Linked DNA regions of Oryctolagus cuniculus. The protein of the gene in region 1 binds, or shares a complex with, the protein of each later gene. Links are inferred from orthologs where the notes say so. Each region holds a gene or a part of one and is shown on either strand. Other genes may lie near its edges.

Evidence for each region. Proteins that work in one complex are often made in the same cells at the same time.
Region 2: POLR2K (region 1) and TAF1A share a complex: the UniProt entries of both Homo sapiens proteins name them as parts of the pol I pre-initiation complex. The link is inferred for Oryctolagus cuniculus from reciprocal best matches to the Homo sapiens genes POLR2K and TAF1A.

What each region holds. Positions count from the first base shown.
Region 1 is NC_091437.1:125,592,541-125,596,631, forward strand, and holds POLR2K (DNA-directed RNA polymerases I, II, and III subunit RPABC4), read left to right. Parts: upstream 1-1,188; 5' UTR 1,189-1,891; intron 1,892-2,486; 5' UTR 2,487-2,495; coding exon 2,496-2,556; intron 2,557-2,851; coding exon 2,852-2,944; exon of another isoform or gene 2,945-2,975; intron 2,976-3,570; coding exon 3,571-3,593; 3' UTR 3,594-3,924; downstream 3,925-4,091. UniProt on the Homo sapiens protein: DNA-dependent RNA polymerase catalyzes the transcription of DNA into RNA using the four ribonucleoside triphosphates as substrates.
Region 2 is NC_091444.1:36,964,280-36,967,927, reverse strand, and holds part of TAF1A (TATA box-binding protein-associated factor RNA polymerase I subunit A), read left to right. Parts: intron 1-2,828; coding exon 2,829-2,998; exon of another isoform or gene 2,999-3,103; intron 3,104-3,648. UniProt on the Homo sapiens protein: Component of the transcription factor SL1/TIF-IB complex, which is involved in the assembly of the PIC (pre-initiation complex) during RNA polymerase I-dependent transcription.

The sequences.
Region 1 (4,091 bases):
CCACTGGTTCACTCCCCAAATGGCCTCACTGGCCAGGACTTGGCCAGACCAAAGCCAGGAGTCAGGAGCCTCCTCTGGATCTGACACGTGTGTGCAGGGGCCCAAACAGTTGGCCATCCTCTGCTGCCTTCCCAGGCATACTAGCAGGGAGTGGGATTGGAAGAGAAGTAGTTGAGACTTGAACCACTGCCCATATGGGATGCTGATGTCACAGGCAGTGGCCCTACCTGCCACACTGCAATGCTGGCCCTAATACTATTATTTTATTACAGAGGCACAGAGGCAGAGAGTGAATCAGCTGGCTCGCTCCCCAAATGCACACAACAGCCCTGGTTGAAATCAGGAGCCAGTCACTTAATCCAGTTCTCCCATGTGGGTGGGAGGGAATCAAGTACTTGAGCCAGAAACTGCTGCCTCCCAGGACGGCCATCAGCAGGAAGCTGGAATTGAGAAGTGGAGCTGGGCTAGGCCAAACTCCTGCCCCCTGGAAAGACAGGGAAATCCCAGTTGAATGTCTCAAGTTGGTTTGTGGAGATGCAACCACACAGTTTTAACTTCTGGAAATGAAAGGTGAAGCTAAAGTTCTCAAGTTGATGGATGGAGTCCTACTTAATAAGATACCAAAGACACAGTGCATGTGGGGGAAGCAAGCCTGCTTCTACAATTAACTTTATAATAACTGTTAACAATTATTTCTGGGGCCAGAGCCGTGGCGCAGCAGGTTAACCCCCGGCCTGAAGCGCCAGCAGCCCATGTGGGCGCCGGTTCTAGTCCTGGCTGCTCCTCTTCTGATCCAGCTCTCTGCTATGGCCCGGGAAAGCAGTGGAGGATGGCCCAAGTCCTTGGGCCCCTGCACCCACATGGGAGACCAGGAAGAAGCTCCTGGCTCCTGGCTTAAGATCGGGCAGCTCCGGCCGTTGCTGCGAATTGGAGAGTGAACCATCAGATGGAAGTCCCCTCTCTCTCTGGTTCTGCCTCTCCTCTCTCTGTGTAACTCTGACTTTCAAATAAATAAATCTTTAATTATTTCTATAAAGTTGTAATAATTTCATTTTCTTAGCTCTGCTTCTATTCTAAGTAAAATATCTTTTGTGAAAGAAGTAAATGAATGTAAATGTTCGAATCTAATCGGCATTTATGCCACTGAATATTCTTTGAAAGAATGCAACTCCCACAAGCACGTCTTTTTTTTTTTTTTTTTTTTTTCTCCTAGGAATACATGGGACCAAGGGAGGGCCAGTGAACCGCTAAAGCTACCAAAATCCTTTAGCTTTAAGTGCGAGGTGTCGAGGGCGCTGCCCCGCAGGTGCGCCTGCACTGTAAAACGAGTAACAGGCGTGGAGGCGAGGGAGAAGCAAAGGGCTGGAGAGCAAAAACACGATCAAGCATGACAAGGACGGGAGGCGGCTGGCACACAGCCCCAGCACAGGTACCCAACAACCTGAAAACAGCCTAGAATGTGCTTTTCTACGGGGTAACAAAAAAAAAAAAAAAAAAAATCACTGGTTAACCGAGTCTAAGTCATCAGAGGAACGGCGCGTTCAGGATTCCACCGGCACTTGTCACCTCCGTCCCTCTTAGTCTCGGTCCTTCCGGAAAAGCGTTCATTTCCGCCAATCTCACGAGTCAGAAATACAAACTTCCTTTGAAGAACTGTTAAAATGATTTTCTTTCCTGAAAAATGAGAATAGCTAAGTGTTAAAAAATGTGCTTGATGTCCACAGAGTCCGTTGCGAGCAAGAAACTAGTTTTAGAGTCTTGCGCAAACTCGGTTTCCGGGCCGGGCCGGGGCGGAAGGGGCGGTGCTCGTCTTGCGTCACAAGCCAGCGCCGGAAGTTGACAGCGACACTGCGTGTTGGGAGCAGATGCGGAGTTTCTCCGTTCTACGCAGGTAAGGAGTTATGGGGCTGGGGTTTAGGTGTGGGTATTTGAGCCAAACCAGAAAGACACTTGGGGGCTAAGAAGGTCCAGTGCGAGGTTAGAGTCAGGAGATGCTGGTGGAGGAGTTGGTGCCGTCAGTGCTTTGCCTGGTTTCTTTTAGTTGAGCTGTTTAGCCATTGGGAATTATTTTAGTATTCTTCCCGGCGGTTAGTCTGTTCCGTTTTGGAGGGATATTCATGTGTTAGATGAGAACTCGAGTTTTGAGCCGAATCTGAATCCTTTTGCCTGCGCAAACTAGTATCTCTCAGCCTCGCTTTCTTCGTGTATAAAACAGGAGTGACACTTGAGGGTTGTTGTGAAGATTATAATGAAGGAACAAAATGCGGATCATTTTCTGTCGTGCCCAGTTTGGGGTCGACTCTCAGTACTTGTGTGTGTCTGTGTGGTTTGCCCCTTAGACCTAACTCCCAGGCACGGAGAAGAGCGCAGATGAGGGGGAACTGGGATCTCTTTCAGTTTTTCCTGAAAAAACAAGGGGAGGGAGGGCTGTTCGGGTTTGTGAGGAACCCCTTTGAAATACTGAGGATTTGATTCTGTGTTTGCAGGGACTGACAATGGACGCCCAGAAAGACGTTCAGCCCCCAAAGCAGCAGCCAATGATATATATTTGTGGAGGTAAGGATAACGCTACATAAAGTAAGAGTATTTTGCTTAATTTGTTTTTGAAATTATTACATTTATCCTTTGAATGAATGAGTCATTGGTGTTTAAAGTTATAAAGGAGCGCCTCGTAGCACCACTTAAAACTCTTATTTGCTCTGGAAAAACAGCATTGCCCACAACTCTCTTCTTTCCCATTTAGTATATTTTGTAATATCATACCCTTGCCTGATATGGTTAAGATAATTTGCCTGTCTGCACTGTTTTCCTTTTAAATTTGAGTAAGCCTTTTTTTTTTTTTTCTCCCTAGAATGTCACACTGAAAATGAAATAAAATCCAGGGATCCAATCAGATGCAGAGAATGTGGATACAGAATAATGTACAAGAAAAGGACAAAAAGATGTATCCTTTAACTCTACTTTTAAAATCTGAGGTAGGAGCCAACTGTAGAGTGATGCAGGGGTTGATAGACACTACTTCTGGTAGAAACCGTAAGAACTTTGGATTAATTAAAGAGATATTATTAGCATTTTTCATAGACAAGAACTGAAGCACTAAATAATTGAAATACTAGTTGATTTTGATTCTCATAAGTTTATTTTCCAGAGATTCTGTATTTACATAAGAACTGATTGTTCAGCTTGACAAATAAATTATACAAGGAGTAATACAAATATTGTGTATGCTACTTAGTAGGAAAAAGTGGAGCCAACACATGAGACTAAACACTGAGAGTGAGTTGTAATTTTCTAACATAACTTTTTTAAAATCACAAGTTATTACCTTTAGCATTCAGTGCTTTTTGATACATTGGGTTTTTTTTCATTGGTTGGGAAAAGTGCTAATAAAAATTGAAAGCTTTTATTTACTTTATATCTAGTTGTTGTAATAAATAGTGAATTCCAGGTCTTTGTGCATTTTAAATTAACAAACTAGCTTGTTGCACATGTAAAGTGATTTGGAAGTCTTCAGTCTTTTTCTGTAATTTTCAACTACATTTTTTTTTTCCTTAACTCAGATGAATACAGTGGTGGTCTTTGATGCGCGTTGAAATGTGCATTCAGAGGAATATCTTCATTTGTACTTGCATTTGCTGTTAATGTTTCTCATTGTTGTATGGCTTTTGGTTTAGCATCTTTTTGAACTACGTATGATTTCATTTTGAACCATATTGTATTTAGGTATCTTTTAATGTAAAGAAGTTAGATTACATGACTTATAATTTAATTTTATTGTTTATGTAATGTGACACAAATGAAGGTTAAAATTACTTTCTTAAACTATGCTTGCAAGCAGAACCTAGAATCATCTGGGGTCTTTGTGAAAAATGCAGATTTTTAGAGCCCTCTGAAAGTCTAATTAAATAAATTCCTTGGAAATCACTGTGTCATGAGATGTTTGTGAAATTTCCAGTGTCTTTGGTACAGAATGTAGCAGTGTGTTTGCTGTCAGCATACGTATGTCATTTTAAGTTCAGTTTTTCATATACTACATGTCCTGTGGTAAGTAATAGGCCTTTCTGTATACTGTATGAGTATTTTTCAAACCT
Region 2 (3,648 bases), on another chromosome or scaffold:
TGAGAATGAAGCTCACGTGTGATTTGAAAGCCAAGGCTTTTAATATATGCTGAGATATATTTAAAAATGAGCTAATATGTATTAAGTGCCTAGAATAGTGCCTCATGCACGTTATTGTTGAAAAAGAATAGTTCTGTTCCTCTGTTAATTTTTTTTTTGCTGTGTTAACACATCTGTTAGGTTTGAATGGTTGGTACTTCAGCAGGAATGCTCCCACATTGCTTGTAGGAAACGAGTAATTTGAACTTGTGCTAGTTAAGACATCTCTGGGCATGTTTTTGTCACTATTATTGTAGATCCCGAATCTGCAGACAAATAGAGTATACATGCATAAGATGTTTCATGTGCTATGTATGGATAGGCTATTAAATCCAAAGTACTTTCTTTTTTATTTTTTGACAGGCAGAGTGGACAGTGAGAGAGACAGAGAGAAAGGTCTTCCTTTGCCGCTGGTTCACCCTCCAATGGCTGCCACGGCTGGCGCGCTGCGGCCGGCGCACCGCGCTGATCCAAAGGCAGGAGCCAGGTGCTTCTCCTGGTCTCCCATGGGGTGCAGGGCCCAAGCACTTGGGCCATCCTCCACTGCACTCCCGGGCCACAGCAGAGAGCTGGCCTGGAAGAGGGGCAACCGGGACAGAATCCGGGGCCCCGACCGGGACTAGAACCCGGTGTGCCAGCGCCGCAAGGCGGAGGATTAGCCTAGTGAGCCACGGTGCCGGCCAAAGTACTTTCCGTCTTCTATGAGAAAATGTCTTTTTAAAGATTTATTTTATTTATTTGAAAGACAGAGTTACAGAGAGAGTTAGAGACAGATAGAGAGGTCTTCCATCCACTGGTTCACTCCCCAATTCACCGCAACGGCTGGAGCTTCTCCCGGGTCTCCCACATGGGTGCAGGAGCCCAAGGACATGGCCATCCTCTACTACTTTCCCAGGCCATAGCAGAGAGTTGGATTGGAAGAGGAGCAGTTGGGTCTCAAACTGGTGCCCATATAGGATGCCGGTGCTTCAGGCCAGGGCTTTAACTCGCTGCACCACAGCACCAGCCCCAAGAAAATATTTTGCACGTAATAGTGATCTTGTAGTAGAAATTAGCCATAATAGGAAAATAAAATTGCCAAACACTTATTTTTTATCCTGGGAGATTCTTTTGGCATTTTAAAGGATGTGCTCCTTAGAATAAAAAGTTTGAAGATAGGCAAATCTAGGTTAGAACTGTATACAGGGGCCAGCGCCATCTTTCACTGCTTTCCCAGGCCATAGCAGAGAGCTAGATTGGAAAAGGAGCAGCTGGGACATGAACTGGTGCCCATATGGGATGTTGGCCCTGCAGGTGGAGGCTTAGCTCACTACACCACAGTGCCAGCCCAGCCTAACTATTCTTTTTTTTTTTTTTTTTAAAGATTTATTTATTTATTTGAAAGAGTTACACAGAGAGAGGAGAGGCAGAGAGAGAGAGAGAGAGAGAGGTCTTCCATCCGATAGTTCACTCCCAATTGGCTGATCCGAAGCCAGGATCCAGGAGCTTCTTCCAGGTCTCCCACATAGGTGCATGGGTGTGGGGGCCCAAGGACTTGAGCCATCCTCTACTGCTTTCCCAGGCCATAGCAGAGAGCTGGATTGGAAGTGGAGCAGCTGGGACTGGAACCGGCGCCCATATGGGATGCTGGCGCTTTAGGCCAGGGTGTTAACCCGCTGTGCCACAGTGCTGGCCCCAAGCCTAACTATTCTTAAGATGGGATTACTAATGCTTTAGAGATAGAAAAATCTGTCTTCAACTGTTACAACTGAAAATGTGGCCCTTTTTTTTAAGATTATTTGTTTGAAAGAATTAGGAGAGAGGGCGAGGCAGAGAGAGGGAAAAAGAAAGAAAAATATCTTCCATCTGTTGGTTCACTCCGCAAATGGCTGCAATGACCAGGGCTGGACCAGGGTGAAGGCAGGAGCTAGGAAATTCATCTGGGTCTCCCATGTGGGTACAGGGACCCAAGCACTTGGGCCATCTGCTGCTGCTTTCCCCATGCACATTAGCAGGCAGCTGGAATTGGAAGTGGTGCAACTGGGACCAAAAGCTGGTCCTGGGAACTTGGTTCTTAAAAAACAAAATACCCTTTGGGATTTTTGGGACATTGGTAGTCTTTCTTAAAATGACCTGCTTGCTCTGAGTACCCGTGCTGTGTTTTTGAGGGCCTCTTTGTTAGACTTTCCACAGTTACTCAGTGCAAGGACAAAAAGATGATTGAATCAGGGCTGGCGCCGCAGCTCACTAGGCTAATCTTCTGCCTGCGGTGCCAGCACCCTGGGTTCTAGTCCCGGTTAGGGCGCCGGATACTAGTCCCGGTTGTTCCTCTTCCAGTCCAGCTCTCTGCTGTGGCCCGGGAAGGCAGTGGAGGATGGCCCAAGTGCTTGGGCCCTGCACCCGCATGGGAGACCGGGAAGAAGCACCTGGCTCCTGACTTTGGATCAGCACAGCCCACCAGCCATAGCAGCCATTTGGGGAGTGAACCAACGGAAAGGAAGACCTTTCTCTGTGTCTCTCTTTGTCACTGTCTAACTCTGCCTTTCAAAAAAAAAAAAAAAGATTGAATCTGATCGAAGGATTGGTGACTGGTGGCCCAAGAATGTCTAATTAGATTTTTTTAAATTTGATAAAACTAGTTGATATGGTACGGAAAGATTTGTTTCAGGTGAAGCTAGTTTTAGTACTGGGAATGGGCTGGGTCAGGTAATTCCTACTGTTAATACTTGTTTGCACTTCTGCTTATCAGAAGCAAGTTTTTTGGATAGTTGAAGTCCTTGTGAGTAAAAGCTCCTCTTGCTTCTTTGTAGTGATCGGAGGGAAAAAGAAGAAGGATTTTGCTCAGACAACAAGTGCTTGTTTACGTTTTATCCAAGAAGCTCTGCTGAAGCACCAGTGGCAGGAAGCTGCAGAATATATGCACAGCTATTTTCAGACCTTGGAGGATTCAGATACCTACAAAAAGCAGGCTGCGCCGGAGGTAAACAGAAGTCAAGTCTGATAGAAGAAAGGACAGATTCTGGAGTTCCTGCTTGCAGCTTCACTCAGTAGCTTGTGTAGGACAAGTGGACAAAAGTTACTACAAGTAATTCTGAGTGCAAAGTTTGTGTCTAGTACTTGTTAGCATTTTAGTATCTATTAGTCTATTTTAAAGGAGACTAAAAATTGTTTGAACTCTTAATTCTGAGATTCCCCAATATTAATTAATTAATTCATTCATTCATTCCAATAATACCTCCTCCTTTCCCTGTCTCATTATTTTCCCTGTAGGATGTTTCTCATCATCATATAAAAAACATTGTTATTTCTATCTGAAAATAATCACTTGACACCACTTTCTTTACAGACTGCTTGTTCTTAGTTTTCTATTCTCTGTTTCAGCAAAACTCCTTGAAAGACTTCTCTCTCTGCAGCTAGAGTAGTCCTTTTTTGGGGGACTCCAGTTTTATCAAGACCTAATTGGCCCATACAATTCATTCATTTCAGTTGCACAATTTTTTTTTTGACAGGCAGAGTTAGAGAGAGAGACAGAGAGAAAGGTCTTCCTTCTGTTGGTTCACCCCCAAATGGTCACTATGGCCAGCGTGCTGCACCGATCCGAAGCCAGGAGCCAGGTGCTTCTTCCCTGTC